2 linked regions of the Xenopus tropicalis genome follow. The protein of the gene in region 1 interacts with the protein of each later gene in a pairwise test. Links are inferred from orthologs where the notes say so. Each region holds a gene or a part of one and is shown on either strand. Other genes may lie near its edges.

Region 1 (3,925 bases):
AAAGTGCAGTAAGGATCAGAGATAACAGTGGGGTATAGAAAGCAATAACCATTGCAGAGACCCCTATGAAGTTAAAGGGGACAGAAGACTAATTCACTAACAAGAAGCTGCGCATACTGCAAGCTGTGCACAGGGCTAAAGGCATTAGGCACCGTGCAGAAAGGGTTAAAGTAAGCCTTGCATCCCCCAAAAAGCAATCAGAGCCTGGAAGCGTGCTGGGGGGGTTGCTGCGATGTGGAACAGATTGTCAGATCCATTTGTGTCCCACTTTCCTCTACAGGACCCCACCCCAGCGGCAGGTGGACTCTGTCCCTAGTAAGGAGAAGAAGGGAGCGATTGTCTGATCTGCAAACTGCCACACGCCAGCCCCTCTCCCCATTGTGAGCCCCTCTATACAAATGCTAACGAGCAGCGTGTGCCATTCGCAATCTGCCGCAAACACAGCCCCCATTATCTGTATACAGGGCCTCGTCCTTCCCCCACGTTAGCAGGGTCATTAAAATCGCCTTTATTGCATTAATAGCAGCAGGCCAGATGTCTGCTTAAAGTAAGGGTTATCAGATCTTCCCTGCTAATGAGCATAATATCCCTGCCCAGCACACCTGTATGGAGCACCCTGCCACAGGGCCCACCTGTCCAGCACTGCCATGGTTAATGGAGCCCATGAGTTGTAGCCCTGTGCCCAGATGATGCTTGCTGCCCCTGCACACACAGCTCATGAGCAAGCCAATAAATAGTCAGTGTTCCCAGAACAGCAGAAACAAATCAATGTGTTGCCGTTGGTGCATTTGTGACACACAGTGCAAAGATCTGAAGTTTTAAGGATCTTTTTGATGTTCTCTCCCATTTCGTGCAAAGCCCAAATCATAAGACCCCCATTCTGCCTGGCAACAGCATGACAAAGGGCAGCAGGCAGACTTTGAGTCATTGTAAAAGAAAAAAAAAAACCCAGTGCGCCCACCGGCCGGCCATTCTACTGAGCCCCCCCCCTCCTTTCTACTGCCCCCCCCTCCTTTCTACTGCCCCCCTTCCCCTCGTCTCCTCCCCCACGTGGCCTTCTGGCACGCGTTCTGTTGCTCTATTAGCATTACAATGCCTCCCCCGCCCGGCCAATCAGAGCAAAGGAGTGAGACCAGACCCCGCCTACGCCTCTCAGCGCATAAATACCGGCTCAGTCGCTCCGTTTCCTCACACTTCGCTTGGGATTCTAACTGCTCTGAAGCTACTGTGGATATTATACTCTTCTTCTTCCGGACCCTTTGGTGGATATTTGAGAAGTCTCTCGCACTCACATTTTTGTGGCTTACCCGGAAAATCATGACTCTGGAAGAAGTTCACGGACAAGAAACCGTTGTTGAAAGCGCTGACAGGTAATTTCAGAATACCAATTCCGCCTTCTTTTATTCTAAGGGATCTACCGCCTGCCTATCCGGGATTCTGGGATTTGTAGTTCAACCCCAGCTCTGCAGGAGGGTCGTAGTAGAGTAAAGCGTTTGTAAGGGAGAAATGACCGCAGAAATAAGCGCTATGATCCAGGGGTGCAGAGATTTGGACTCACTGGTTGCATATAGCCAAAGTGCAATATTATTGATCATATTGGGAAGTAGCTGCAGCTCTATGTGCAGTTAGCAGATGGGGGAACATGAGTGGGTGGCATTAGCTAAAGCTCCTTTTATGGAGTGTGGGGATTTCTGCCATAGCATCCAGTCTTGCAGTTATATGGAAAGAAATATTCAGTTATGATCTGGCTCTAAATGCATTTCTTTTTATTTGTCTTGTGTAGGATGCAAACTGCTGGCAAAGCCCTGCATGAACTATTGGTCTCTGCCCAGAGAGAGGAGTGTCTGACCGTTGGAGTCTATGAGTCTGCCAAAGTAATGAATGTGTAAGTATCCCACTCCTTTGCACTGATCCCACACACACCCTTTACTCATGCATGCATGTAACACAGCCCACACACAGTCCCACTTGAGGCTTGCTGGCAGCAGAACTAATGTTCTCTTTTTTTTAATTTGATTTTACAGAGATCCAGATAGTGTCACTTTCTGCATCTTGGCTGCAGACGAGTACGACGAGGGTGATATAGCCCTTCAGATCCACTTCACTCTGATTCAAGCTTTCTGCTGTGAAAATGACATCAATATCGTGAGGCTGAATGACACAGAAAAAGTAGCTCAAATTCTAGGCTTAACAGATGAGTCTGCAGAGCCCAAGGACCTGCACTGCATCCTTATTACGGTAAGTGTCATGTTCCTGCTTATCGGCAATGTTTTGGCTTTGTGCCCATGGCTGTGACTTGTGCAATTTCTTGTAAGCACAGTGTTCTCATAGTCTCTGTTCCTCTTCTTTTCTCAGAATCCAAATGAGGATGCCTGGAAAGATCCAGCCCTGGAGAAACTGGGTATATTCTGTGATGAAAGCCGTAAAGTCTACGACTGGGTTCCCAGTATCACCCTGCCAGAGTGAACATCTTTTCTCTACATTAGATTGTAAAATCTCTGCATTATTATCATGGTGTTGTGCACCTGGATGGACCAGCAGCATTCCGAAGTCTGTGGATTACGCTGGTTGAGGTCAGATTAAGTCGCCAAGACTGGCAAAGATGTTGGCTCTTGTGGAGCAGAAGAGTAAGGAGGAAAACTTAACATGGACTGATCTGTAAAAGGAAGGGTTGGTGCCAGTTTGAAGCCTCCCAAAGCACTGGGGGGGGGGCAGTCATGCCATGGAGCTGGAGGAGTTTTGCATGTGCTAAAAGCAAAAATGGAAGCTTTTAAGATGGATATGAGGCAAATTAAGCAGCTGGTTAAAGGAAAGAACCTGTTCTGTATCTGCTTTTGGAGTTTGCTGAGATATGAAACATGAACTTTATATACACATTGGAAGAGTCTGGGACTATATAGCTCTGGATTGCAAACTGAGACTGAATTCTGTTCATTGCAGCTTGTTATTGGTTATTACAGTCTACTACTACAGTCTACTACCCAGAATACATAGTAAAAAAAAAAAAAGACTTTCTGTATTTTCAACATTTTGACACTGTTGCAAATTGAAGTGCTTTTCTTGATGAAACTTGGCATTTAAAATGTTGTTTTCTGTCATTCAATAAATCATTTTAAATCTCACTTTAATTTGTTTTGGTTTTTATGCTTATCTGGTAGGGTGTTTATACCTGCGGCCCAGCGCTTGAGCTACCTACATTTTCTAAATGAACAAAATAATAAGCATCCCCCAAAACAACCAAACAAAAAAAGCTATAGTCTTGTAATAGCTGTTGGTTCACAGTTTGGGCCCCTATTGTTTGGGCATGTGTAGAAATGCAGTCTGTTTTACCCCACTACATTGGCTATTCAGAAAGCTGCCAATGTGCTGTAGTCATCCCTTTTGTTAGCAGTGCACAATAAGATTTGCATAGAAGGGGGCTGTGTTGCTTGGTATAATCCATAGTCTGCAGCAGGCAGCTAATGCTTTCTATTGAGCCCTGACCATTTGACCTGCTGCTCCTTCAGCGACAGCTGCTTATCACAAGAGCGTGCAAGGTCTATGGGCTGCATGCCTAATGAGTGCATTAGAGTGACAGGGGGCTGCTGCATAGATAGATTTTTGTTACTGCACAGACAGAAAAGAGCAGCTGGCACTGTGTTTAAGCAAGGGATTCCCCATATCTCACCCCTCAGGTTTAAAATTCCCCTTCATCCAACGTGACATTTGCCAAAGTGCAAGTTGTTTCTGCTTCTGGGATTTAGCAAAGCAAAACAAGCCACACACTATTATTGTGCAGCACTAACATTAGCATGGGTGCAAAGCAAAACTCATTCTCTAATTTATACAGAGAGTTTACAGTGATGCCACCTATCCTCTGCAAGCCATAGGTTTCAGGGAACAAAATGCACTAAAGGGGGTGATACTAGGTTAAACTGGCATAGTT
Region 2 (4,580 bases), on another chromosome or scaffold:
TGATTAGGTTAATAGCTCGTTTAGAGAACCTTTTCATGATATGCTAATTTTTTGAGATAGGAATTTTGGGTTTTCATGAGCTGTATGCCACAATCATCAATATTAAAACATGAAAAGGCTTGAACTACTTCAGTTGTGTGTAATGAATCTAAAATTTATGAAAGTCTAATGTTTATCAGTACATTACAGAAAATAATGAACTTTATCACAATATGCTAATTTTTTGAAAAGGACCTGTATATATAGAAACGCACACTGAAAACTTCCAGGGCGTAAAATAATCTATACACTCACAGTACTTTATCGACTGTTTACAGGAAGAAAATTATGGTATGTGTACAGTATTGTATGGAAGTGTCACTGAATGCCAATGTACAGCAGGCCCATTGATATGGCCACCTTGGCGTCACTAAGTATGTTTATAACATGTCTTAATATAAGAGTGGATTTAAACCAGAGTTTTGGTGCAGCCTTTCCGATGCAAGAGTGTTTATTCCTTGCACGAGTCTGAAAGCCATTCAGGGTTTGGTTCTGTTAGAAGAATACAAATAAACAAGGCTACTATTCAGGTTGTTTCTGTGTGAAAGATTATTGTTTTACATTCACATATTTTCACTAATTGAATGTAGCAGTTTCCCTTTGCACAGCTAAAGCTTATGAGCTGTCAGGGTAAGCTCCTGCTGTGCTTAACAATGGCTTAACAACAAGAGGTTGAAGATCAGGAATGTAGCAACAGAGGTCCCCTAGGTATCAGTTTGAGACTTGGGCGCACCCTCTGCCCCGGCTTCCTCCATATCCTGCGTAGAAGAGAAATGGCAACCAATAGGGTGCACACTGCAGAACTGTTTGTTTTTTGAGTTCTATGAGACGTATAAGGACTCAGGTCAAGGTTGGAATGAGCGGTCCTAGCTTAACAGGAAGACAAGACTTTGCTTAGACAAGAGAAAACTTATTTTGTCGTAAAGGAAGAATTCACGTTTTTTCATGACATCATTCTAGGAAAATCAGTGAAAGCTTCGATGTCAAGAACTTTGGTCACACAAGGTGCCAGTAGAAGCATATGGCTTGGGAGCAATACAAATCACTTCATTTGGCAGGATACTTAAAACCCCAAAACAGCAGCAGGCAGGTCCAATGTTAATGACATGTTCCGTATTAGTATTCTGACCCACTTTATTCTCAGCTGTAATTGAATGTAAAGGGCCCTGCTTTCTACTGTGTGTTACCACTATTACACCCATCTTTTACAACTGGGATGTGCAAGACATGCGTCCACATGCTTCTCCTGATTGGTCAGCAGTCATTCCTGCAAGCCCTGTCTGAGAATGGCAGTTTTTATGCACATATTCAGACCTCCCGAGTTGAAAAATTGCACTGTAGTTGAGAAAACCATCTTTAGCTTTGTTTATCAGAATGCCAGATATAAAAGTTAATTAGTAGGTACATATGAATATTTCTTTTGTTATCATACAACGTCTGTTTTTAGTATGGCACGTGGACTTGTAATGATGACATCTAGTTATTCTCATGTGAAGATATCCAGAAAACCTGCAGTGTGGTTGTTCCTTTAATGGCTGAATGAGCATCTATCAGTGGTTTAAACTATTAGTTATTTTAACACTAAGAATCTGCATCTTTTGGACCTCATAAAACTATAAATATACCCTGCATGCTGTGTACTGAGAACACATATCATGCCATGCTCTATTATCACTCCCCCTACTTTCTCAGTGCAACACAAGCTAGAGGGTGAAAGGATGGGCACCCCTGATTGTACAGGCTTAACGTAAGAATGTTTGTGGCTTTGGCAAACCTGTGCTAACAAAGGAAAAATGAGTGCTGAAAGGGGAGTCACTTTGCTAGTCTGGTCAAGGGCTAATTAAATGTGCTGCCCTGACTCACACAAACTAATAGCAGAGCAAGCAGGGAGTACAGCAAAAGCAATAGAAACCTATTTATTTCACTGGAAATCCCTAAGGACATAACAACTTACTGTAGCCATGCACACACACAATAGAACTGAAGGAATTAGGGGGCAATAATATTTAATTCTCTTTGTAAAGTGATACTTTACAATGGCAAGAAGCTGACTGGAAATGTCATGTTTATAGCCAGCAGTGTCATTTCTAGCATCACTAATTTCTTTCTTTCCATAAAACTGCTACATGCCCCCAAGCAGGTAACCAGCATGGCAAGAAGACAGAAAGCAACAAAATAATAACTGCCAATATGTGTTCTATATGTGTGTGTGCTAGCCCTAACAGGTACATCGCAAGAACATGCAGAGGATGAGACTTACCTTTGATTCGCTCCATGTCGCTGCTGAGTGTCGCTGCTCAGTGTGGCTGCTCAGTGTCGCTGCTCAGTGTTGCATGCCCAGAAGTTGCCTTGGCTCAAAAGCGCAGACCTGACCTGTCTCTGCACTGAGCCCTGTAGTGGCCTGTGGAGCTGCCCCGGTATCTTAGGAGCTGATTATCTGATCCTCCAGATCTTGCAAGGGAGCATTTCCCCTTTGCGCTAATAGCTTCCCTATGAGCTTGATCTGTGCAGTGTTATTAGGCAAAGGGCTGCTTGGATGTAAGCAGTAAGGATTAGCCGAGGTGCCTCTGATCTCAGCCCCCTGCCCCTCTCTCATCTCCCTTCCTAGATAAATCAAGGAGGCAAAAAGTCAACTGCAACTTCCACAGCTTTTCCTGTGCCTCCTCCTCTGCCCCCTTATCCAGAGGCCACAGGGTCTTAGTGCCTCCCCCTCCCCTCTGCACTCACTAGCCCACACATTGCTGACAAGCTTTTCCAGGGAGGGTCTGTTCTTGAGGAGTGTCCTGCCTCACCCTGTGCCAGAGGAAACGAGAAACGTTCCACTCCAGGGAAACCTCTCACATTATAATCTCCCTTTGGGATCTCACTGCTTTGCGCTTTCCAAAAATATGCGCCACAGGACAGGTGCGTAGGGCCGGCAGCTGCTGCCTAGTACTGACTGACTGCTGACATGTTAGCGGCGGGCACAATGCTGCACTGTTACACACGGCTCTCAGGCGGGGAAGGTACTAAAACTAAATGCAGCATTTGTTGCTAGATAGATATCCCTAGTTGCTAGATAGTGTCCCTTTCGTCTCCTATTATTAGTATTTCTATTTCAACAAAAGCCAACTACTTCCAGTTTCCCTGGTCTGGAGAGATTATGCTATGTATAAGGGCTCTGGCACACGGGGGAGATTAGTCGCCCGCGACAAAACTCCCTGTTCGCAGGGGACTAATCTCCCCGAGTTGCCTACCCCTGCCATCCCACCGGCGAACATGTAAGTCGCCGGCGGGATGGCAGACGCGGCGGCGCGATTTCGCGCAAATCGGCGAAAAAGACTCGCGAGTCTTTTTCGCCAATTTTCTGAAATCGCCCCGCCGCGTGTGCCATCCCGCCGGCGACTTACATGTTAGCCGGCGGGATGGCGGGTCATGGCAACTCGGGGAGATTAGTCGCCCGCGAACAGGGAGTTTTGTCGCGGGCGACTAATCTCCCCCGTGTGCCAGAACCCTAAAGGTGGCCATACATGTAAAGATCCGCTTGCCTGGCGAGGTCTCCCTGTGAATGGATCTTCTCCCAATATCCACATCTACTGTAATGGGTGCAGTCAGTTCGGGGACTGCATCAACGAGCCGTTGCGTGCCCGATCCGACTGAATCTTTTAACCTGCCTGATCGATATCTGGCTGATTTCAGGCCAGATATCGGTCGAGCAGGCCAGTCGTTGTTGCCCCTACACGGGCCGATAAGCTGCTGAATCGGACCAAGGGACTGATATTGGCAGCTACAATCGGCCCATGTATGGCCACCTTAAGACTAATGTCCCACAGGGAGATTTAGTCACTGTGATTTTTTCACAGAGTTTCAGCACAAGTCGCTTGTCTTTTCCTAATAAGTGGAGCGATTCTATATCCCGTAAATTCAAGGCTCATATACCCCGTCCACAATTAGAAATTCCATTCAGTGAAATGGGGAAATCGCAGCGACTTCCCGCTCCGTGGCTTTTACTTTCAGCGATTCCAATAGTTTTGAATGACAATGCTTTCTTTGTAAAATCGCTCGAAAAAGGGTCCCATAGCGATTCGGAATGATAAGCGATTTGAAGTAGTATCGTCGGTTTAGGTACTGCTGATTTATATTCTTCTCTATGTAGAGACAAAACAAGTGACTTGTCACTGGAACTCGCTTTTTACAAATCGCAGCGACTAAATCTCCTGGTGGGACATTAGACTAAAACGAAATTCGCTATAAAAGAAACGGCATAGAAAGAGCTGTAATATAAATGGTGAATTTATCAAGGTATAGTTTATTTGACACTGCTTCAGACCTGTTACTAAGTTACAGCAAAGCCTCTCTAAGAAAAAACACATAAAAAAATTACAGTTTTGTTCTGTCTGAGTGTGTCGATGTGTTTTAACTGTTTTAAAGGAAAAAATACCCCTTTTCTAATATAATCTTATTCATTTGGGCTTATTAAAAAATGGTGCATAAACACTATCTAAACTGCTCGAAATTAATATAAATTTACTTTTAAAAACATACTTGATTCTACAGGCTGA

Evidence for each region.
Region 2: the proteins of gadd45g (region 1) and afap1l1 interact in binary tests that used the Homo sapiens proteins (3 or more experiments, as listed by UniProt). The two-hybrid records come from large-scale screens. The link is inferred for Xenopus tropicalis from reciprocal best matches to the Homo sapiens genes GADD45G and AFAP1L1.

What each region holds. Positions count from the first base shown.
Region 1 is NC_030677.2:138,047,976-138,051,900, forward strand, and holds gadd45g (growth arrest and DNA damage-inducible protein GADD45 gamma), read left to right. Parts: upstream 1-1,207; 5' UTR 1,208-1,317; coding exon 1,318-1,370; intron 1,371-1,783; coding exon 1,784-1,885; intron 1,886-2,024; coding exon 2,025-2,238; intron 2,239-2,355; coding exon 2,356-2,466; 3' UTR 2,467-3,122; downstream 3,123-3,925. UniProt on the Homo sapiens protein: Involved in the regulation of growth and apoptosis. Mediates activation of stress-responsive MTK1/MEKK4 MAPKKK.
Region 2 is NC_030679.2:40,548,273-40,552,852, forward strand, and holds the start of afap1l1 (actin filament-associated protein 1-like 1), read right to left. Parts: upstream 2,845-4,580; 5' UTR 2,316-2,844; coding exon 2,300-2,315; intron 1-2,299. UniProt on the Homo sapiens protein: May be involved in podosome and invadosome formation.